Linked DNA regions of Tribolium castaneum. The protein of the gene in region 1 purifies or fractionates together with the protein of each later gene. This does not show direct contact. Links are inferred from orthologs where the notes say so. Each region holds a gene or a part of one and is shown on either strand. Other genes may lie near its edges.

What was found.
Region 2: the proteins of Rab5 (region 1) and Rbsn-5 purify together in Drosophila melanogaster (affinity purification with western blotting; 3 studies listed by BioGRID, with this or other methods). This does not show direct contact. The link is inferred for Tribolium castaneum from reciprocal best matches to the Drosophila melanogaster genes Rab5 and Rbsn-5.

Annotation. Positions count from the first base shown.
Region 1 is NC_087398.1:666,534-678,503, reverse strand, and holds Rab5 (ras-related protein Rab-5B), read left to right. Parts: upstream 1-4,662; 5' UTR 4,663-4,833; intron 4,834-6,874; 5' UTR 6,875-6,879; coding exon 6,880-7,124; intron 7,125-7,177; coding exon 7,178-7,467; intron 7,468-7,558; coding exon 7,559-7,671; 3' UTR 7,672-8,674; downstream 8,675-11,970. Other genes in the region: ncm (pre-mRNA-splicing factor CWC22 homolog), read left to right, coding at 1,897-3,061, 3,240-3,909, 3,968-4,403; myosin-10, read left to right, coding at 9,361-9,519, 9,636-9,788, 9,917-10,128, 10,206-10,254, 10,483-10,508, 10,558-10,648, 10,698-10,880, 11,909-11,970.
Region 2 is NC_087396.1:24,290,120-24,301,322, reverse strand, and holds Rbsn-5 (rabenosyn-5), read left to right. Parts: upstream 1-7,997; 5' UTR 7,998-8,051; coding exon 8,052-8,187; intron 8,188-8,236; coding exon 8,237-8,650; intron 8,651-8,698; coding exon 8,699-9,453; 3' UTR 9,454-9,584; downstream 9,585-11,203. Other genes in the region: tup (tailup), read left to right, coding at 1-234, 2,900-3,201, 5,765-5,977, 6,995-7,162; uncharacterized protein LOC103313509, read right to left, coding at 9,608-9,795, 9,840-9,966, 10,012-10,196, 10,241-10,495, 10,541-11,203.

The DNA.
Region 1 (11,970 bases):
TTTTAGCTTTTAGTGCGACACATGCTAATGCTTGGAGGTGCATAATATTTTTATGGTAATGTTTCTTTTAAATGTTAAACAAATGACATCACGTTTACATAATTCCACGACCCAAAAAAATACAATACAATTTTTCGACGAAAACTAATTAGTAATTATTGCAGAAACATGTTAAAATGAGTAACGATAAGTGGTTTTTTAATGACTTATTTGGGTCGATAAGTTGACCACTAAAAGGTTTACTCATTATTGCGATTAGAGCAACGAGACGACTTTTGGAGGCCTTATTTTCGGTCTTGTTGCGCATTTTACGATAACCCTTTTGTGACCTTTTTATCGGAACTGCACCCAAAACTATAATTAAAATTCTTTCCCCTAACTACTCAAGCGAGTGGTCAATTAATTTCTAAAAAAAGAGCGATTTGTGCGAAATAATTATTTACCATGACTGCAAGTTCCACTTGTAATTATTCCAAGCAAGATGATTAACAAAAGTCGCAACCTTGGGCCCAGCACCTTTAGCACCTACACCAACCCGGCACGCTTTTTTACTTAGAAAAAGTACCAAAAATTGGGCAAAATTTTGGAAAAATGGGAGAGGAGAACGCGCACGGTATCGGCACCGAAAGGTTGAGAACCAACTGAATTGCTATAGCATGGGTACTCTCCATAAAGCAGCCTCGGGCTCTTTTGTACGGATTGGTTTCGTTGGTCGATCTTTGAAACAGCTGGAGCTGGGTTTAAGTTCACTTGGCAGTGACCTTGATGCCTCGAAAACGCTGCATTCGCACTGTTTATTGTTCAAACTGTTTAATAAAATATGGTACACGCAAACATTTCACATATTCATGGGAGGCCTCCGCGAAATTCCGCAAAATTAAAATGCGTGACCTTATCGTTCTCCGCGCCGATTTTTTAAAATCCACAAACTGAATAAAATACCTTGTAACACTTTCAGTATGCCGTAAAAACGCTCTTTTCACCGCGGAAGTATTGTTGAGAAATCTTTGATCGAACTTGTTATTGTGCCATAAAAATTTAATTGTACGCTAGAGCTGTTATTAGCCACTATTATCGGTTTTTGCTTGTTTTTGCACCAACAGCCATTTCTCTTCAAGAAAAAGCGAAAGTCTGTGTCAAGTTATTCATTTTATGGGAACACATTAAAAGTCGCTGTCGAAGTAAATATTCTGAAAATATCGCGACCTGAGAACCATAAGGTTCTGACTATTTCACAATTTTACAATATCATATCTTGTCTTCTCAATTGCCTGAAATGTTATCATAAAATATAACACGTATTATATGTTAATCTACAAACAAACAATACACAATACAAGAAAAAAATAGCAAACTTTTCAGACATGCTCTACTTAAAATTTTATTGTTTTGAACTTTTAAATCAATATTTAAGGTTCCAAAGTAACAAATTTTGCCAAAATTACTTCCATGTAGGTACTTTTTGTTTTCTATCAATAGCTAAACGTTACATCATCTAGTTTTCTTTTATTTAACATTTAAAGATCATTAAAATCCCAAAATTCCCAGGTCGTGATATATTTTTTAGGCAAACGTGACCCCCAAAATCACATTCAAATTTTTTTGAAATTTTAGATTTGTCACTAATTTAGTAAGTCTGTAAATTTTCAAATATGTCTGGAATTAATAAAACCACCAATTCCTGGCCCTCTAGTTATGTTATAATTGCGTAAACACGTACATATAATTAATTATAATTTATTCTAAATGCACAAAAAAATCTGGCGACTTTAAAATTCAAAAATAGTAGGGAATTTGTCATTATCACCAGTGCCACATAACCTCAACCTCTTGCGTTGTTGTGTGTTGTCAATAATCGCCCCAATTTCTTACTGTGTTTTTGTGAGTGCTTAAAAAATGACCACCGACACCGAAACCTCCCCACAGCCCAAACCCAAGCGTAAAAGCCGCTCCAAATCCCCTGAATCCCGTAAAAAACGTCGTGACGACTCGCCCCATAAAGACTCCCGGAAGCGTTCCCGCCGTTCGCGTTCACGAGACCGTCGCAAAAGTCGCAAATACCACGACTTGGACCGCCCCCTTGAAGAATACCCTCGGTATTACGGCGAGGATCAAGAACACAAGAAAAACAGCGATAGATATTGGACCAAATACCCCCGCAAGGATGACCATCAGGTGGGTAGTAGGTATTACGGGGGCGAGCCCGACGATAAAGACAAAGAGTCTGAGAAGGAGACGGATAAGTCGGTGATAGCCCCCCGTGAGCGCAAAACCGTGGATTTACTGACACGGACAGGTGGGGCTTACATCCCTCCAGCGAAGCTGCGGATGATGCAAGCGGAGATTACTGATAAGAGCTCGGCGGCGTATCAAAGAATTGCGTGGGAGGCGTTAAAAAAATCCATTCATGGGTTTATTAACAAGGTGAATACGTCCAACATTGGGATTATTTCGCGGGAATTGCTCCATGAGAATGTGGTAAGGGGGCGCGGACTGCTCTGCAAGTCCATAATACAAGCGCAAGCTGCGTCCCCAACTTTCACAAACGTGTACGCAGCCCTGGTCGCTGTCATCAATTCGAAATTCCCTAATATTGGAGAATTGTTACTGAAACGTTTGGTTTTGCAATTCAAGCGCGGTTTCAAGCAGAATAATAAAATTATCTGCATTTCGGCCACGACTTTTGTGGCTCATTTGGTTAATCAGAGGGTTGCGCATGAAATTCTCGCCTTGGAGATTTTGACTCTTTTGGTGGAGACGCCAACTGATGATTCGGTTGAAGTTGCGATTTCGTTTCTGAAGGAATGTGGACAGAAATTGACTGAGGTTTCGAGTAAAGGCATTAATGCCATCTTTGAAATGTTGAGGAATATTTTACATGAGGGGAAGTTGGAACCGAGGATTCAGTACATGATTGAAGTTATGTTCCAAATCAGGAAGGACGGGTTTAAGGATCATGCCGCTGTTATTGAAGAGTTGGATTTGGTGGATGAGGAGCACCAGTTTACACATTTGATTACGCTGGATGATGTTAAGCAATCAAATGCTGAGGATATTTTAAGTAAGGAAACTTTTTAATTAGGTGGAACTGTACTTAATTTTTTATACAAAAAAATCGGGGTATCCAGGTTTTGAGATTTTTTATTATTATTTTTTTATTTCTCAGAAAAAATTATTTTGAAATTTTAATTAATTAATTCCTTAATTTGCCTCGTTCACTCTGTGATTATCCTGTCTAGATGTGTTTAAATTCGACGACAACTACGAGGAAAACGAGGGGAAGTACAAGACTTTGAGCAAGGAAATCCTGGACATGGACAGCGAGTCGGGCTCCGGCTCGGAGGAAGAGTCCGGTGACGAGGAAGACGACGAAGACGAGGACGAAGAGGAAGAAGAAGGCGCCCAAAAGAACGAATCCAACATAATCGACAATACGGAGACCAACCTCGTGGCCCTACGCAGAACAATCTACTTAACCATCCAATCAAGTTTAGATTTTGAGGAAAGTGCCCACAAACTAATGAAAATGGAACTGAAACCGGGCCAAGAAATCGAATTATGCCACATGTTCCTCGACTGTTGTGCCGAACAACGGACTTACGAGAAGTTTTACGGATTATTGGCACAGAGATTTTGTCAAGTGAATCAGATTTATGTCGAGCCATTCCAACAAATCTTCAAAGACACGTACGCCACAACACACAGACTTGACACAAATAAATTGCGAAATGTTAGCAAGTTTTTCGCACATTTGTTGTTCACCGATGCGATTGGATGGGAGGTTTTAGAAATTATGAAACTGAACGAAGAGGATACCAATAGTTCCAATCGGATTTTCATCAAGATTTTGTTCCAGGAATTGGCCGAATATATGGGCTTGGAGAAGTTAAATGCCAGGCTTAAAGATGCGTAAGTGACTGTGTTTGATAATTAACGAGGTTTTGTTAATTTTTTGGATTTTTTTCAGAACGCTTCAGCCACATTTTGAGGGGCTGTTTCCGCGCGATGATCCCAAAAATACAAGATTTGCGATTAATTTTTTCACGTCGATTGGCTTAGGGGGGCTTACGGCCGAGTTGAGGGAACATTTGAAAACAGCCCCTAAAGTCAATCCCTTGACGATTACTGAAAAATCAAGTGATTCTAGCAGCAGTAGCACTAGCAGTTCAAGCTCATCCAGTTCCGATAGTAGTGATTCGGATTCGTCAAGTTCCGAAGATGAGAAACCACGTAAGAAGAAGGAAGAAAAGAAGAGGAAAAAACCGACAAAAGAAGCATCAGACGATGATAAAAAACGAAAAACAGATGCGAGGAAACACAGACATAATGAGAGACGGTCACGCGATCGAGACGATCGGAGGCGGCGTAGGAGCCCCGAGAGGAAGCATAAGAGTAGGAGATAAGTTACTTTGTACATAAATTGTATTGAATAAATATTTTTATTTGTGACTTGTGTTTGATTCCTTAAAGTTACCAGATTTGAATTTGGCGCTTAGTCAAACCCACACTTTTGGCATTTTTTTTGACGAAATGTGGGTGTTAATTAAATTGCGTGTTTGTGCTTTTGCTAAAATGAGACAAATTTGGGTGAAAATTTTAATTTTGGGTTAGTTTTAACTGAAAATTTGGGTGAACAAGGCTTGGTGGTTTTTGTTGGCGAGGTTGGCAAGCAGTTTCGTCGGGTCCGAGCTGTCATTTTGTGTGTCACTAATTTTTGTTCATTGTGTAGTAAATTGGTGCTATCGTGTTAAAAACAATAAATCCGATCAAAGGTATTTTTATGAGGAAGAAAAACAGTAATCGTATTAGTGCAACGTGAGCTATTTAACCAAAGTAAGTAGCTAGAGCCAAGTCGGTAGGTTAGATGAGTGGAGACGATGTTTTTTTTATTATGTCAAATGCGTCATTCGCATTAAAGTAAATCTCAATGTTTCGTGTCGGATTGTAACGGGGTCCTGGACCTGTTGATTGAGGCGTTCGCGGGGCCCCTGAAAAGTCAGCTGATTTCGGACAACGACGCCCTTGAACCCCGGAGCCTTGAGAGCCATACGCCCCCTTCTTTTTTAATTCCACGACACGGTTATCAGCTCTCTTATGTGTTATAGGTCATTGCTGTGAAGCCCCTATCGGGGATTAAAGCCGCACAGACTGGCTTGCATAAACAGATAATTACGAACGTAGTTATGACCACTCGACAACTACCAGAACATTTACCAGAGATAAGAGATTGTATTAATCGCAGAACAAACTTGTAAAATTTCGACCAAGTGCGATAACTCATTTTTTCACACACAAGACCTGAATCTCTTCACGTTGGTGAATTCTCGCGGAGACGTGCTTTCATGCTTTACAAGGCCGGATGTAACATTGCATTATTTGATTATTCTGAAATTATTCCTGTGCCAGGTTTTCCCTCCAATGCCACTGTTATTGTTATGAATAACATTCAGATTAGTCATCCGATTAACGGAAAGAAAGCTGAATTTATACCAAGGGTGGTTGTTTTATCGTAAGTTAGGGGAAGTGACGTCTCTGTTCACAAACAATTGATTTTGAACTTATCAATGATCCCAAAATAAATACGTTTTTATTCAAATTCATTATTAATTGTTAGCTGTTTAAACCCTCTTACCTCACACACTGTTTACTAAAGCGTTGTGAAATAAAAATAAATATCACTTTCAACATTCCCACCTGCTTTAATGAAGAAATTTAATTAATAAAATATTATCTAATGAATGGTTTATCAATTACCTTGTTTTTGCAACATTATCTTTCACACTGGAAGAATAGAATTTTATTTGAGCGTTTAAAATGTTTACAAAAATGTAAAACACATCATTAAATTTCTTGTTTGTTTTATGAATGTTTTATCAAAGTATGCAAAATGAGACTTTGTTTTGTTGCATCGGAAACTTTGAGCCAGAGGCCAACGAATCCGTTTTTTATTAATTTGGAAAATTATTACACGTTTTTATAATCCTTGACTGGATTTTCAATAAAAAATCAATAATTTATGCAATAACTGAATGCATTTTCTATAGCAGTTAGTAATACTCCAACCGGAAACCGCCAAATTACACAGTTTATTTCTTTGATATTAGATTAATTCATATCAAAAATAAAATAAACAATAAAATAAAACCACAGGCCAGGCCAAACGGGCGCTTTCCTCACCCAAAACTGTTTTAAATTTGTGTCAGAAAAATCGATTTATAAATTAAAATATCTGAATATTAAGAGTCATGATTGGTTCAGAAGTCACCAATCTCACTGTTACGCTTGTAAAACATGATATTTTTAGGTTTGAATTGAAAGAGTTAAGGGAATTCCCAAAACATCTTACGATAAAACTGTCTATTTTTCGAGCACATTATTTGATAAGATAGGAAATACTTGGATAATTTTTTTCCTCTATTATTTTTTTTTAGAAAATATAATTAAACTGTTGTCACAATTTTGTGTTTTATTAACCTTTGCTTCTTTGAAAACAACCAGAATTTGACCCCTTGGGTGCAAAATAGTGACTTTTTAGTTAAAATGGTAATGAATCGTATGCATGATATCCTTTGACTTCATTTATGGAAATTAAAAGGCTTTGGAAAAAGGACTGAATAACGAAATTCGGACAATTATTGAAAATATTTATTTTAAGTCGACGTTTTGGATTACAAATCGGATTATTCATGACTAAAAACCCGAAACCAATAATCAAATATATCCTAAAAGTTGTTATTGAATTTATTTAGTGTGGTAGGCATCTAGAGGTTAACTTGAATTGAAATTGAATAACCTTAAGTAAGTATTGTGCATGTCAAGGTTTTATGGCAGAAAGGGCCAGATTTTAGTATAGATAAAATTTTGTCATTGCTAGCCGATATGGCAAACAGGACCGGAACAGCCCAGCGCCCCAACGGTTCAACCCAGGGCAAAATCTGCCAGTTCAAATTGGTGCTCCTTGGCGAATCGGCCGTCGGTAAATCCAGTCTCGTCTTGCGTTTCGTCAAAGGCCAATTCCACGAGTACCAAGAGAGCACCATCGGCGCCGCCTTCCTCACACAGACCGTATGTCTGGACGACACCACCGTCAAATTCGAAATCTGGGACACTGCAGGCCAGGAAAGGTCACCATCTCTAAATTTTCTTAAGAAACATTTCTTAGATAGACAATATGCAGGTATCACAGTTTGGCCCCGATGTACTACCGAGGGGCGCAGGCAGCTATCGTCGTCTACGACATCACCAACCAGGATACGTTCGGACGGGCAAAGACGTGGGTGAAGGAACTCCAGCGACAGGCGAGTCCCAACATCGTCATCGCCTTGGCTGGAAACAAGCAAGATTTAGCCAATAAGAGGATGGTGGAGTTTGAAGAGGCACAGACGTATGCCGATGAAAACGGGCTGCTCTTCATGGAAACGTCGGCCAAGACGGCTATGAATGTCAACGATATCTTCTTGGCGATAGGTACGTTAAGGGTCTTCGGCCTCTTCAAGCTTGGCTGAGCGGTGCTTTCACGGTTTGGGCAAAAGAAATTCAATTTGTGACGTGTTTGCAGCCAAGAAGCTCCCCAAAAACGAGCAGGCGACGGCTCAGGGTGCGAGTGGCCAAGGAAGGAGGCTGGCAGAGGGCGACACGGGGGCTAAAGCCGCAGGCAACTGTTGCAAGTGATGGCCCCTCCAGCCGCCCGGATTTGTGTCTTTAATCGAGTTGAAGGGACTGGACTGTGCGCTCGCACTTTAGTGATATATAAGTGTAATAAGAAGCCCTTTATTAATACCGTTACAACACTCAGTACACTGTCACTTATTTTCGTTCTTTCTCTAGGATCAATTCACTTGGTTGCATTTCAGTCGGATCGTTTTTATTTATACATGTAGCAAGTTGGTGTAACTAAAATCTTGTGATAATAATTTTGAGTTAGAGAGTGATTCAAATAACTTGATATTTGACAGTGTAGAATTGGATTGACGAAATTTACGCACTCTCAAGTCAAATTTTATTCGGTTCTTTGCGTTTGGATTAAGTGCAATTATGAGTCACGTAAGCTTTCAGGAAGTTTTGTCAATCTAATTGATAGATGATTTAAAATTTATACTTGTGTGGGGTGTAAGTTATAAATCGTAACAACTTGCGTGTATTTTAGTGTTTTTCAAATTACCTAATGTTTTCGAGTCCAAAAATATAAAATTTAACCGCCGCGTTCTTTTCGAACCTTTTCATTCTTAACATGATGCATGACTGGAACTTTTAAACTTTTAGTACTATATGTAGTGATTTTTTTTATTTAAATAATGAATTAGCAAAAACCGCTCATTATGTAAGTCATGTGTCATCCGGTCTCGGGATCTATCAAGATTTCGGGGCCTTGAAGCCGACAAATCTTGCTCGATCTCGAGGCCTTTAGTCCTACATTCGTATATAAATATAATTTAGTAGATGTACAATGTAGTAAGGTGGTTGTACAGATTTTAAACATGAGGAAAACTAATATCGTATGGTATGGATGTCTCTTTATCCATGAGTATCACTGTATTATATTTGAATATATTAAATTTATTATTAATTAATAATTTTATTTGCTTGCTTATATATGGTTATCATTATTCTGTATGCACAGAAACTGATTGTACAGGAAGTAAATCATACTCAATAAAGTTATTACAATACAAAATCGTTTACCCTCAGATAACGCTGCGGTAAGTTAAAATACAACAGAACCTCAATACTCTCAAAAAATAAATTCAAATCCGGTTTTTGTCGATTTTCAATACCCGAAACATTTATTGAACTATTAGAGATAACAAGATGAAGTTTATTATCGTTGGAAAGCTCTTTGCATTATCTACCTTTTTCAAAAAAGACTATTGTTCTCCGACTAATAGTTTCCTCGCAAATTGCAAAAATAGGTAAAATTAAAAAAAAATCATAACCAAAAAACTATTGGGAATTTGGCGATTTTCTTGATGCCCGGGATCATTTTGCATAGGTATGGATCAAAATAGTTTCGTTCTTTCGAATAAGTTTGTCGTAAATAAGAAAAAACCATATAAAATGGTCAATTTTTATATCTATTAAAAAAAATTAAGACGATAAGGAAAAAAGGCGTTAAAAAAGTGCAAGGCCTAAAAAACTCTTAATTTTGCTGAACATAAGCCCAAAGATTCAGTTCAACTGCTGTCTCTTCTCGGACCCCCCTTAGTTGGGGTCCCGATCTATTTTCGTCCCCAATAACGCAGTAGGCGACGTAGTGGGGAAAAGTGAGCTGGGCACACAAACGTCAAAACATGCCGTCCATATCGCACCACTAAATCAACAAGAGCACGAAAATTCAAATTTTACGTTTCCCTCGCTGAAAAAATGTCCAAATCCAACACCGACAGGGACGTTTGCCCTGTTTTTGCCTCCAGTGGAAAATGCGGTGAGCAGGACGCCCTCGACGTCATGGAGCAGTTCCGCAGCTTCTACGAGAACAAACTCAACGAGATCGACCACCAAGGGGGCGGCGACTGTCTCGAGGTGCGTTCTTCTACCCCTTTCCTTAACCCCATTTTCCAAGGGGCGGTGGGTGTGGCCTGCTCTTGACACCATTCCGAGCGCCATCTTTACTAACCCGCTAAATTTAAATTTCACAGCTCAAACTCAAGGTCCAGAGGAGATGGATCGACGATCTCACCGAACAGACGCAAATGATGGCCAGAATTGTCAAAGAACTGGAAGATGAGGCCACGAACAGGGTCCGCATGCTTGAGGATAAGTTGCGGCAAACTTCCAAAAGTGCTTATGAAGTAAGTTCAAATCAGAAACAAAATGATTTTTTCGGGCGTTTTTCGCGGCTTTTCCGGGCGCACTTTCGATATTTTCCTCGCCTACAGTGAAATCGTTGTTGAGTGATACAGTGGGGATTTTTCTGCAGGTGATGAAAAGGTACCAAAACTACAGTATTACACACAATTTAGATGAGCCTTTCCAGAAAGTTTTTTACTTGGAAAATGATTTGAAAAACTTACTGGAGTTTATCAGGAGAATTAGGGAGGACCGCAAGTGGAGTATCGACGGACTGCAGTTTTATGACATCACTTATAAAGATTTGTTTGGCAAAGAACAGTACGATAGCAATGACAATAAGTAAGTCCAAATCTCATTAATTAAACAGAAAAATCGTTGAGAGTAATTTATTTTAATCAATTATTTTTTAATTGTAGGGAAAGAAATTTGGTTCCGGTCGCTTCCAAAGACGCAAATAAGAGAAAGGTAGGCAAAAAAACACTAAAATTGATTCTACAAGTGGTAGATAAACGAAATAAGCAAAATATTAAAGACAAGTGTAGGTGTCGTCACAACTCTCCCAAACGTGCAATAAGTCCTTGTAACCCCTGTCGTTGTTGTCCTGCACTTTTGTACAACAATTGTAAAAAAATCGGCTTTTAAATACAACATTCCCCACGCTTTCCTTGTTTTAATTAATCTATTCTATTGTAGGGAACACCGTCCGAGGCGAAAGCCGAGTAAGTAACTTTGTATAGCAATTAAATAAAAAATGACACTTGATTTAAGCGAATCGGTTGACGAAAATGAGAACAACAAATGCGGTGATGTTTTTGAACAGTTGAAAAGGAAAACAATCGAATATGAAGCACTCAGGCAGGTGAGTGATCAATTATTCCACTTGTTAATGGATTAATAAATTTTCTTAGTCAATGTTGGATATGAGAAGTGCTCTGACCGAAGAAGTGGCCTGTAAGCACGACATGATTTCGGCCCTTAAAAAAGATATTCAACAGTTGGAGGAACGGTGCGTCCAAGCTGATAAACAAACAGCCTTCAAGGACGATATAATCAAAGAGTTGCGGAAGGAAATTAAACAGTTGAAGCAACAAGTAAGTGGGAGGAACCCCTATTTTGTCCCCGAGACTCCTTTTTTCCTCCAGATTTGTCCCGAATTCCCTTTAAAAAAATGGAAAAGTCGCGACAAGACCGTCTTGACAACGATTCGACATAATCGCACGTGCGAAAAACCCAAATATTCGACTGTGATTTTTATCAATGATGAAAGCAAAAAAAGTGAAAGGAAGGATTTGAACTTGTGCAAGACAGAAAGTGTTCCCTCGTATTTGACGGAGGTTCCGGTCAAGGAAAAATCAAAGTTTACTGTGACGAGTTTTAATAAAACCTTTGATCAAGTTTCCGGCCAAGGCCGCATTGACTGACTTTAGTTATACTTTTTATGTTATTGTTAAATATACGCATAATTGAACGACGGTCGTTGTTTGTGGGGCGAAAAATACATGAAATAATTTGTAGGAAAGTTCGACTTTTGGCAATGGAAAGTTTTCGGAATTCGGCAAAATTCTAGAACAAGTAAAGTGTTTGAAGAGTAAGATGAAACAGTTTTATGAGAGACACAAATTATCGTTAACTAAAATCAAAGAGCTGGAGGAGGACAACAACTCGAAAAGTCTGCTGCTAATGAGTCTTTATAACATAATCAAAGGCCTGCTCTCCAAATTGACTTTTACCGAAAATATCGAAATCGTAATTGGGACACTTGTTTTTTGACCAAATGACGTGGGCGTTTTTTCAGCGAAATGATTTCCTCACCAAACAAAATAAAAGCTTAGTCTTTGATAACACCAAAATATTGCGGAACTTGTATAACGCCGAGTTATCGAAACTTAATGAAGATTGCGAACGCGGCAACGAAATTATTAAATTAATGGACGTTAACTTTGCGAATACTGTCTTGATGGTGTTTTTGAAAAAACTCGAAAAGTGTTAATTGTTGTTGCAGTTTTTGAAGTAAATATTGTCTTGCGTTTCAATTGTGTTTTATTTATATGCACGGGACGATTAAATATCACGTTTCCGGATTTCTTATTAATAGTAACTGAGTTGGTATTTTTCCCAGAACAATGACAATGAAGCGTCTTTGAGGAAACAACTGGACGAGGCCCACCAGCTGATCAAACG
Region 2 (11,203 bases), on another chromosome or scaffold:
AGATTTATCACATAAAGTGCTTCAAGTGTTGTGCTTGTTCACGACCGTTAGTACCTGGAGATGAGTTCGCGTTAAGAGACGGTGGAAATTTGTACTGTAAGGAGGACCACGACCACATGGAGAAGACGTCCATACCAACAACGCCACATTTGCCCTCCACCGAAAGTAATAACAACACCAGCTTGAGCAACAACAATCACAACAGCAATTCCACGGAGCTGGGCTGCATGTCAGGTAGGGATTTTTGATTTTTTATTTTACAGTTTTATTTAAAAAGGTTTCAGTTTAAGAATTTTTAACAAAGAATACTAATTGACAACAAAATTAAACAAAAACTAAGAAAAAACAATGATCATCCTTTAGAAAATTTATTTAAGAGCTTTTTCAGTGTCTTTTTCGTCTAGAATTTTTTGTTGATAGTCTTAAATCCATTGAAACATAGAAAAATTCTTTTTGGTATTTTCTTTAAATTCGATATTATTTGAAAAGTTGTAAAAGTCGATTATTTTTTCGACTTACGTAAAAATAACTCTTTACATAATATACGTGCTCGAAATTCAAATGCGCTTCAGTTTGATGTTTTAATTCTATTCTAAAAATTTACAGCGAGTTACAACGAAAAAATGCGAATAACCAAATTTGTTAAAAATGTTGTTCCCATTATTTTTGTATGATAAAACTCCCCCTGTTTATAAATTGACATTTCTGAAGTAAAAATAATAAAAAACTTGAAATCTTGAGCAAATATGCTGTAATTTTATTTTAGTGTTTAAAGTACTCGAATTTAAAGTTTTCGAATAATTCGCGAAAGCAAGTCAGTTTCCACTGCATTCCTTTTAGAAGTTATGTCTTTAATACTCGTACTTACTTATTACTTAACAGACGGTAGAAGACGGTATTTAAGATTTGCAAGGATTTTTCCACAATTTTGTGATTTAAGAATATAAATTGTTGAGTTCATTTTATTTTATTTTATTTACCTTACAAAAACTTTTATTCTGCTGCGGAATATTTGAAATGTGACTTGATTGATTGTAAGTGTTATCATTAGTTATTAAAATTCTATTTTTTTGTCTTTTTTTCTCAAGTATTTTAGCGAAAACTGTTATACCTAGTCGAACCGAAATCAGCATTTGAATTTGTTTCTACCTTTCGTTATAACTAAAATTAATTTATAAAAAATACTAATATCTAACAATAAAAAAAATATGAACGATTTCATGATTTTAAGTGCTATTTTAAAACAACGATGTTTAATGATGTTTTTAGTAAAAATTTATAATAAAATTGTTACCTACTACCTACTTATTTGAAGTTTTAATTTTACTTAGTTAATTATTTACAAAATTGTGTATAATTATTGTTTTTGAGATATCATAAAAATATACCTACTTTTAACAGATTAACTCTGTACAATATAAAGCGTCCGGCAAAAGTATGTACTTTAGTCTTTTTTTTACCTAAACTGTTTATTTTAGTTAAATCTACAAGTTTTTTTATATGGCTTCTCTGTGTCTTTGGATCCAATCATTTCTCATAACTCCTGGCATGGTTAACAAATAGAAAAAATAAAGATGTTACATTTTTAAAACGTTGTTTCTTTTCTTTTTCATTAAAAATTATCTACACTCATTATTATGTTTGATGCAATTTTTTGTTTATTAAAAGAACTATAAATCATATAGTTAATAACGTTAAGAAAAATAAAGGCAACGATAAAGAAAGTAACGAATGAATAATAATAAATAATAAAACTTTCATCAGAAATACTTTAATGTTTTAGATATGAGTAATTTAAAGCCAGATATTAAAAATGCACAAAAAAGCGAACAAAACAGTACATTTTAATTACTCTGGAATATATTTGCGTTTATTAATACAGTACATAAGATAGTAAAAAAAAAATTGCTATTTTTTCATGGTATTGCATTTTTTTCTCTCTAAGCGTGTGAATTTATCCGAATTTTTCTACCCTTTTTATAATTAAAATTAATTCACAATTAAGTACTCAAAATCTCACCGATTTTCTATTACCTAAGCAGCATAAGGGACCATTTTTATGGTGATAATAATAATGCTGTCTAAATTTCTAAAGAAATTGAAACATCAATTTGAAGTGCATTTAGTATACGCTATAAAAATCAGAAATATTTTTTGCCTATTCTGTTGTGACTGTTTTTACCAAAAAACCGTCTTTCGTCAGACGGCGGTCCATTCGGAATCGTTAGAATGTTAAAAAAAGAGCCATCCCATAAAAAGATTCCATTGGTATCATTTTGCTGCATTTCTGCATATCTGCTAAAAAGTATTGAAATAACTTTAAAAATAAATATCAATTAAAACCAGTTTGCTCCCAATTAAAATGTCAGTAATGATCTAGTTGATTACATCAAACTGTTGCAACTGTATAAGAAACTTGCTTAACGAAATATTCATGCAAAGATCATGCAAATGAACGCTTGGCGATGAAAAAAAAACAATAATTGTGTTTAAAATAGTTGTGAGGTCCGTCCCGGGTCATTTCAAGTGTTTAGAAAGGTTTTATTTAGTTTCGTAAAGCCTCCAAGGTTGAGCATTTTTACTTTTTAAATATTTGCCTTGGGTTTAACTCAAAGCTGGACCGTCTTGACCGAAGGGTGAACAAACAATCCCTTCCTTTAAAAGACACCATCACCCAAACATTTCCTCGTCAATTCGAGTTAATTCGGGTGATTAAGGTAAAGCCGACATCCACTCGCCTATGCACAAAGAGTGGCCTAATCTGCATTGACCAGTGTTTCACGCCTTGCTAATCCCCGGACTCGGCCCGGAATTACCGGACTTTGCTAATGGACGCCGGCCAGTGCCGGATTAATCCGGACAAAGAGAATTTTCTATAAGATTCATTTTTCGCTTGCAGATTCCGGCTCGGAGAGCGGGTCGCACAAGGGCGGCGGCGGCGGCTTGAGGAAGGGCTCCGGGGGCGGCGGCGGCGGCAGCGACGGCAAGCCGACGCGCGTGCGCACCGTCCTCAACGAAAAACAATTGCACACGTTGAGGACGTGCTATGCCGCCAATCCTAGGCCTGATGCCCTCATGAAGGAGCAGCTGGTGGAAATGACGGGACTTTCCCCGAGAGTCATCAGGGTTTGGTTCCAGAACAAGAGGTGCAAGGACAAAAAAAAGACCCTGCTTATGAAGCAGCAGATGCAACAGGAAAAGGTTAGTTCTTTCTTTAGTGAATTAGCCAAAGAAACAGAGCATTAGGTATTTTTGTGAGCGAGGTAATTTGTCGGCGTTAAATTTTAATTAACTATGAAATTAGTTCAATTATTTCGAATGCGGCATTAGCACGAATTAAGTGGAGCTACACATCTAGAAAAAATAAAACACCTAAGTGAGTCATTTATCTTTTTGCCGATTTAATTCACTTCGGAAAAATGTGATTTGCTATGGTGTAATTATTTGACTTTTTCAGCAAGTAATTAGAGAATTTACATTTTTGTGACATTAACAATAAATAGCCATTACAAAAACCGTGATAATGCATTAAGACCTGGTTTCTAGTACGATTTAAACCGAGTTAAAGTTTATCGGTTCCATATAATTACACTGGTAATGTAATTGTTGAACAGATAAAATTAAATTGGTGTTACGTTGTACTAGGAAATGGCCCTAAGAGATGCCTTATCTTCTTTGTGTCCGAACTAAAACATACTCACTTGTCAGAATAAAACGGAAAATGTTTAAAAATTTGGTTTTGCTCAATTTTTTGTGGTCCAGTTTTTTTATTTTTTCAATTTATTTACAAAAAATATATCAGGAGTATAATTTAAAAAATGGTGAGTGCAAAAAACATGTAGAAGTGATGGTTTACGACCAATGGTATTTAATTAGAGGTTGCTAAAAAAATACAGTACCTGACAACTAAAATTAATTTAGAAAAATATTATTTTTCAAAAACTGGCAGCAGTTTAGGCAAAAAGCGCTTTGTCCCATATTTTTATCCATCATCTGCAATATATTTTTTAAAGAAACGTAATGGTTGTGTAATAAAAAAATGGAATTTTGGTTATGGAAGTTGTGTTACAGATGTAGCTTGTGTAAGAGTTTTTTCATTTTTTATTTTTGTATTGTAAATTATAATATAATTTAAATACTTAAAAATAAATATGCAAGCCAATTACTAAGCCAATTTCCTATTTTAATTTTTTATGATTTTAGGATTTTAGTCGGCTAGTTTTTGTCATAAAATTATCTATGATCTGTTAATTAAGCTTTAAAATTGTGTAGTAAAAATAAAAAAATTAAATCAAATTAAAAAAATTCAATAAGAACCAAAAACTTTATTTAAAATAAGGACAGAGGTATTTAGTTATGCATCTTTATTAGCCCCAAAAAATGCTACTATAATTAATAGCAGAATAAACATTCATTCAAAAAGTCCAAAATTCGATGATTTCACTATAGTTTGAAAATTATTGAATACCGCCATCTGAAGGATCCTTCAGATACGTCAGATACGACATTTTTTCCAAGATGAAAATAAAGAGCTAACTCTGTTTGTCGTGAAGATTTCAAAAAGTGTAACCGACAGAAAAGATATAGGACCTGTTGATAAAAGTCCTCATAAAAAAAATTCAAAGTTCCTAGTTCCGGATGTTCCGCCATCTCGAAAATAATTACATTGGAATCAGTTTTGGTCGCTTTTTAAAGCCGTAGAACATTTTTTAACTTGAAAATTACTTTCAGTCGTTTTATACAAGCAACATTAAGCAACACGTGACCAAATTGAAAAATTTGATTGGTCTATTCGCGTAGTTAACTTTTAACAACGAATTAAATTTTAACAAAGTCTTTCTATAAACCGGCTCTTAAAATCACTAAAATACACCTACCTTTTTGGGGGGTGTTTGGTGTATTAGATAGGTTGGTAGTATTCCTCCGCCGATTTTGCACCTGTCAAATTTTGTGTTTCTGTCAAATTCGAATTCAAAACGTGTTGTGTTAAAGCCTTGGGATTATTTGAAGGCAAACATTAAAACAGTTTAATGAATTTTCTCAATACCTAGTGTATTATACTCGTACCTCATTACAAATATTCTTTGTTAAACCTTAACATTGTAACTCACTGTACTACAACTTTTAGCGCGGAGTACTAATCGTAACTCCCTAAAAATAGTACCTTTACCAAAGAGTCGTGGTTTATTTTTCCACAAGTGTATTAAAAATGAGTCGAAAAAGAAAGTTTCTTGTTTTTACAATCCCATTGGGGCAAGTCAATGTGTCGCACAGCCGTACACACAACCGTGTTATTATTGATTAGTGGCGTAGCATCCCAACAGATTGCCCAGTCTATAATTGAATACCCCCCACCTCTCAGGTCGTTCACGTCGTAAATCTCAGGAGGCGTTTCTTATCAGCTGAGCGTGTCCCCGCCTCTCGTCGTCAACCAATCGTCTGCGTCACACATGAGCTCAACCGGTCGATTTCGCTTTTTTCTGAGGGATATAGAGGGGGTCGTGTCTTTCGGTTGGCACTCACTGGCCCAACATTTAAATCGCAAACATGACTCAAACTAGTTTTTTAACCTTGGAGAAGATGACTTCTCATTGCATGCCCCTTGTTGTCTCGGCATGTTATTTATGGGTGGTATGAGAAAACGGATGGCGGTTGAAGAATAATTCCAGTTAAATTAACAAATATTTAATGCTCTGGTTGTTGTTTGTACCGTTGTAAAATTGTACTTTTTTATGTTTCCCGTTTAATGTCTAACATAACCCAGTATTACGTGCAGGATGGGCGAAAATTGGGTTACGGTGCCATGCAGGGTATCCCAATGGTAGCGTCATCACCTGTACGACACGATTCACCCATCGGTGTCCATCCCCTTGAAGTACAAGCTTACCAACCACCATGGAAAGCCCTATCAGATTTCGCCCTTCATGCAGACTTAGAGCAACCCCATCAGCCGGCCTTCCAGCAGCTCGTCAACCAGGTAATAAGCAAATTCCCCCATCGCCACATACTTTATTTTATTATTACATCAGAAGGAAAATTTTGCATCGGTTATTAAATTAATCACTGCTTGTTTGCTTCGCCTAATTTAAGGCATAACAGTAAAAAATTAAGACAAGAGAAAACATTATTTCATGCATAGGTAATATAAATATCTGTAAAATAAATTGCTGTGATTTAGACATAATAGGTAGGTACCTATTCAATAATCCATAAAATTATTATTTTAGGCAATAGCTTTCAGTCAACAAAATATTTTTTATTTTCAGCTGCAATACCTAATAAAGCCGTCATATAGGTACTACTTAGTTGGTTGTTTGGCTGACAATTCTTACATGCGGTGCGACGGTCTTAAAATTTGCTTAATTAATTAATGTTTCATTTTTCTATAACTAGATTATACCGTGTTATTTCGCTTCTCGTGCAAAAATGAAGTGTTTATTCTATTCAATAATATCTAGAAATGTAGCTATGAAAAAAAATGCACTTGAGAAAGAGAAATTTTATATGAGAATGTCATTTTTTCAATAAAATAACGGATACTCGTAGGAGAAATAAGTCGAAGAAAAAAAAAGAAGAAACTGCAAACTATTTAAATACTTATTTATTAAAATTTACTTACAAGCCATTGTCCAGCACGAAGGAGACAAAGGAAATATTTGCTAAAGCTGTTATACGTAAAGAAAATTTTTACAAAATGTTATTTTCCGCTTTATTTGAAATTTTTTTGAAACATTACAACTCTCGGAACTATTATTTCATCGTCCAGTGAGTCAAGAGATACCTATTAAGTATGGAAAACAAAGTTTTAATTTTTTATGTTTGTGTTTTTGTGCCGTTATTGATAATGCCGTAACAGGCGAAACTAGTCGAATGAAAATAAATTGAAGAAAGTCAGGATTCCAATCATTTATGATAATTTTTAACGTTTTTCTTTTAATGAAAGAAGTTTTTCTCTTCGTAATTTGTAATATTGCTAATAATTTTTGTCCAACAGATGCATGGGTACGACCTGCCGCCCCCGTCGATGGGCCCCGCCACCGGCCCACCCCCGGGTATGCTGCCCTCATCAGCGCCGCCGTCTGACGTCATGACGCATCCCGACAGCACCGATAGTTACGTTACCTACCTCGAAAGCGACGAGAGCCTTCCCGCCAGTCCCTAACACCCCCACAACTAGCCGTCGCCGCTTCCGCCCCTAAACGCTCTCACACCCCTTCTCACCTCTTTCCTCCTTTACCACCACCAAGGACTGATTCGGCGGCTGTGCAGACCACCACCCTAGTAACCACCACCATCATGGCTACAATTTCAGGACGATAAAGGAACGAACAAAACGAACAATCACTTTTTTGGTTTTTCATCATCACAATAAGTGGCCAGAACGAATCTCAATTTAATCAAAATCAAAATTTCAACACATATCGCCACTTTGCGTTGATCTCACTCGAGAGTCATCGAAGTTTTCACATGGTTTTTGTTGGCCAGTCTCAATATTCCTTGTTTTACGTACAGTTGGAGAAAAAATACTGAGTGGTATTTTTTTCCGGCTTTACAGTTGTATCATTAGATGTTTTGTTGATGTTGTTATTGTCGGGGTATGCGTGAAGCAGTTTTTTACTAATACACTGTACCATATTGTAAAATTATATATCTAATGTAACATTTGATTGTACAATTTGTTATGGAAAATCTAACTTTGTCGCTAATTTGTAGGTGTTATTAATTTTAGATTTACTACTGTGCATTCGAATGTATGATATTTTTACAGAGCTCTGTATCACATAATTTATTGCAATGAATTTATAAAACTGTATTTGATAAGAAATAAAACAGCAAGTTATCTGTAAATAATGTTACATTAAAAAATTAATTTGTAAATAAATACATGAGATAATCGCGCGCCTTTTATTTCCGTCAACAAAAAAAATGACAGTCAGCAGAAGTCAGTCAACAAAATCCAAGGTTGCCAACCCAAACAGTCATTTTCAATCACTCGTATTACGTTGTCAAATGTCAATTAAACGTCAGTTTGACATGTTTGTAAAGCGATAATGGCTGAAGCAAATTTGATAAAAGAGGGCTTCTTGTGCCCCATTTGCCACAAAGACTTGCGTTCCCCGAACAATCTGATTGCCCACTTCCAAGACTTACATTCCGAAGAACAAGACATCCTAAAATCCATCAAAGGTGAGGTTATGTCAGCTGTTCTCAACACTTAAACGTTCAATTTTCACAGATTTGTACGGCAAAGCCAAGAAAAAGATATTAAAACTTGACGAACAAGACTTGGAAGTTTTCAAAAATGAAATCACCTTAGAAAAGTATTATTTAGAGATAAGTGAGCCGCAAGAACCCGGTCAGATCCGGAGTCACACTGATTATTTCAAAGCCGTTCGTAGAGAACGACTCGATCATCGAACCACCGAAACTAATAAACTTATTATTAGGTTGGATAGGTTGTTGAGGTTCTATGGGTCGGATCGTAAACAGCAAGAGCAGGAGTTGGTGGCTTGGTTGGATGGTTCCACAGTGACACGCTGTCCTTCATGTGCGTCTAGTTTTAATATTACAAGGAGACAGCACCATTGTAGGTTATGTGGAAGCATTATGTGCAACGCGTGTTCCTATTTTTTGCCATATGAGACGGCTCGTAAGTCATTTTTTAAACACCAAGATACAGTATAATTTTTCATTCCAGAAGCGATAGTTGCCCCCGTTCACAACGTGGACGTAAACAACCGGGAGCAAGTCCAAGGTAAGGAACCAGACAGCCTCCGTATTTGCAACCATTGCCTCGACATGCTCGAGAGTCGCAGACGCGTGCAACTCGAACAAATGAGACAACCAATAATTTGCCAATTGTACAACCACCTACAAAACCTCAAATCCCAAACTCAGAGCTCCGTTGATTTGTATTTAAAAATGTACAATTCCCTAACGTCCGGTGAGACCACGTTTCAACTGCAAGACACTCAATCTTTAAGGGCTTCAATTGCCAAAAAAGCCGAATCAATTGATATTTTGAGTAAAAAAATCGCATCCTTGCCTGTGGACGAAGAAACGCCTAAAGTCGAACTACTACAAAATAGTATAAGACGGGGGACTTCTCATTACATTAAAGACTATTTATTAACACTACCAGCGCCCCCTTCTGTCCAAGAACTCGAGAGAATTAAACGCGAACGCTCTCTGAGGAACACTGAAGAGGAGAATCAATTGGCAGTCAAAACGAACATAAAAAGAGTGACAGTGACCACAGGTTGGTCACCTGCAGCTGTGAGTAATGAAAATACCGAAACTGAGGACCCGCTAATTGAGCAAATGAATATTGTGCGGAATTATATTGACCAAGCACGGAAAGCGCAACGATTTGAAGAAGTGGCCTCGCTTCAGGAGAATTTAAAAATGTTGAAGGAGACATACAAACAGCAACAATTGACGAGAGATAGCTAAATAAATTAACCCATTTTTTGGAACTTGGTGCTGAACAAATATGAAATACTGTAATTATTTATTAACTGCATGTTCACTAGTCACACTATTGCACTGTATCTATTATTATTTACCAAAATATATTTTTAATTAATACATAATTAAATAACAAAAATCAATTTTCTCTTAAATTGTGCAAATTTGGTTTTGCGACCTCTTCATCATAGAATCGATTGAGGAAAATTAAGGGAGTGAGTGTCGGTCTTCCGTGAGCGCATTGAAACGGCAACTTGCACTTTGCCAAATTTTTCAAATGTGCAAAACACTCGTTTTTGGTCAAAGAATCTCCGAATTTAATTGCACCTAAAAATAGTTTTACACTAAAATTAATTTGTCAATCGGCAAACCTCTGCAAGCCTCGGAATTGACGATATTTTGTATAAGACTCGGAGTATTTACCATAATTTCGTTGTTAGTTTTCAAAAGATCAACAATTTCTTTGATCAAAGTCTGAGTCAAAAACACAATATCGACCTACAAAACTGTGACAATTACTACAACAAGTGCAACCAAATGTACCCCTTTTTTCGACTTGTTGTAAAGACACAGCGGCACTTGATAAATGGTCAACCCGTTGGTGAAAAACTCCAAAACGAGACCTAGCGACTTGAGATTAGTTTTTTGTCGCTTGAGGAGCGTTAAGTCACTTTGTGGCAAAAAAATTGTAATGTCTTGGTCAAGTTTCGTGGATGCGTTTTTGTAACCTGTAATTATCTCAGTTGAAGTTTTTACACAAGTGTGACACGACCTTCCGATAGCTCCTCCAAACGCACCCTCTCGTGCACAGCATGTTGGTCAAACAACACAACCAAATTCCTCGTCCGTTCCCACACTGCAATAAATTTGCAATCAACCTGGCCGATAATATCAACATTTTTGAATAAATCCTTCGTGAAGCTTATATTTTCAAAATCCTTGACATGTCTATTGTACGCATTAGGAACCTCACTTTCGATTAATCTCGACTTTTCCACATAAATTTCATCGAAGAATTTCTTCGGATCTGTAACACGTTCATGTGACAAGGCAACGTTTCGTAAACAATTACCCCCATCATCAAGACACTTCTGCCACTTAACCATCAACAACTCGTCTTCGTACGATTGTACGAGCGCATTTTGTAGCTGTTGCCTCGATTTGGGGCTCATGTCGTCCACTTTGCCACAATCTTTCAAAATCGGAGACAGGCCTTTGGGGACAAAGTCAAAGCGTTCGGTCATTTCAAAAGTAATGTCGTTGCCAGTTTTCCTTAACCAAAGGTTCTGATGTTGCGTAAATGTGGGGGCTATGACAATATCCTCAGTTTTGTTTTTCTCAATTTCCTCATCCAGGGTTATTAAAAGCCCACTTTCGGATGACTTATCAAATAAATCTCGCGACTCTTCCAAAAGGGTGTGTTTCGGGGTTTGAACCCTTAATTTACAACTCTTAGATTTTTGAGGCGTGAAGTATTTACTAGTATGTGATTCGTTCAAAATTCTTTTCGTATTGTCTTTTTTAATAAACTTAAAATCAACTGTATTATCCAAGTCATTTGACCAGTTCTCTTTATTCGAATCAATCTCAAATTTGCTAGCTTTGGCCTTCTTAGCAAAATACGGCGATTGCCTCACTTGATCAAACGTGTTTTCATTAGCAAAAATATTAAAACTGCTACGCCTTGTATTACGAAAATCGAACAATTTCTTCGGCTGATTGAAATGTGTGGGCA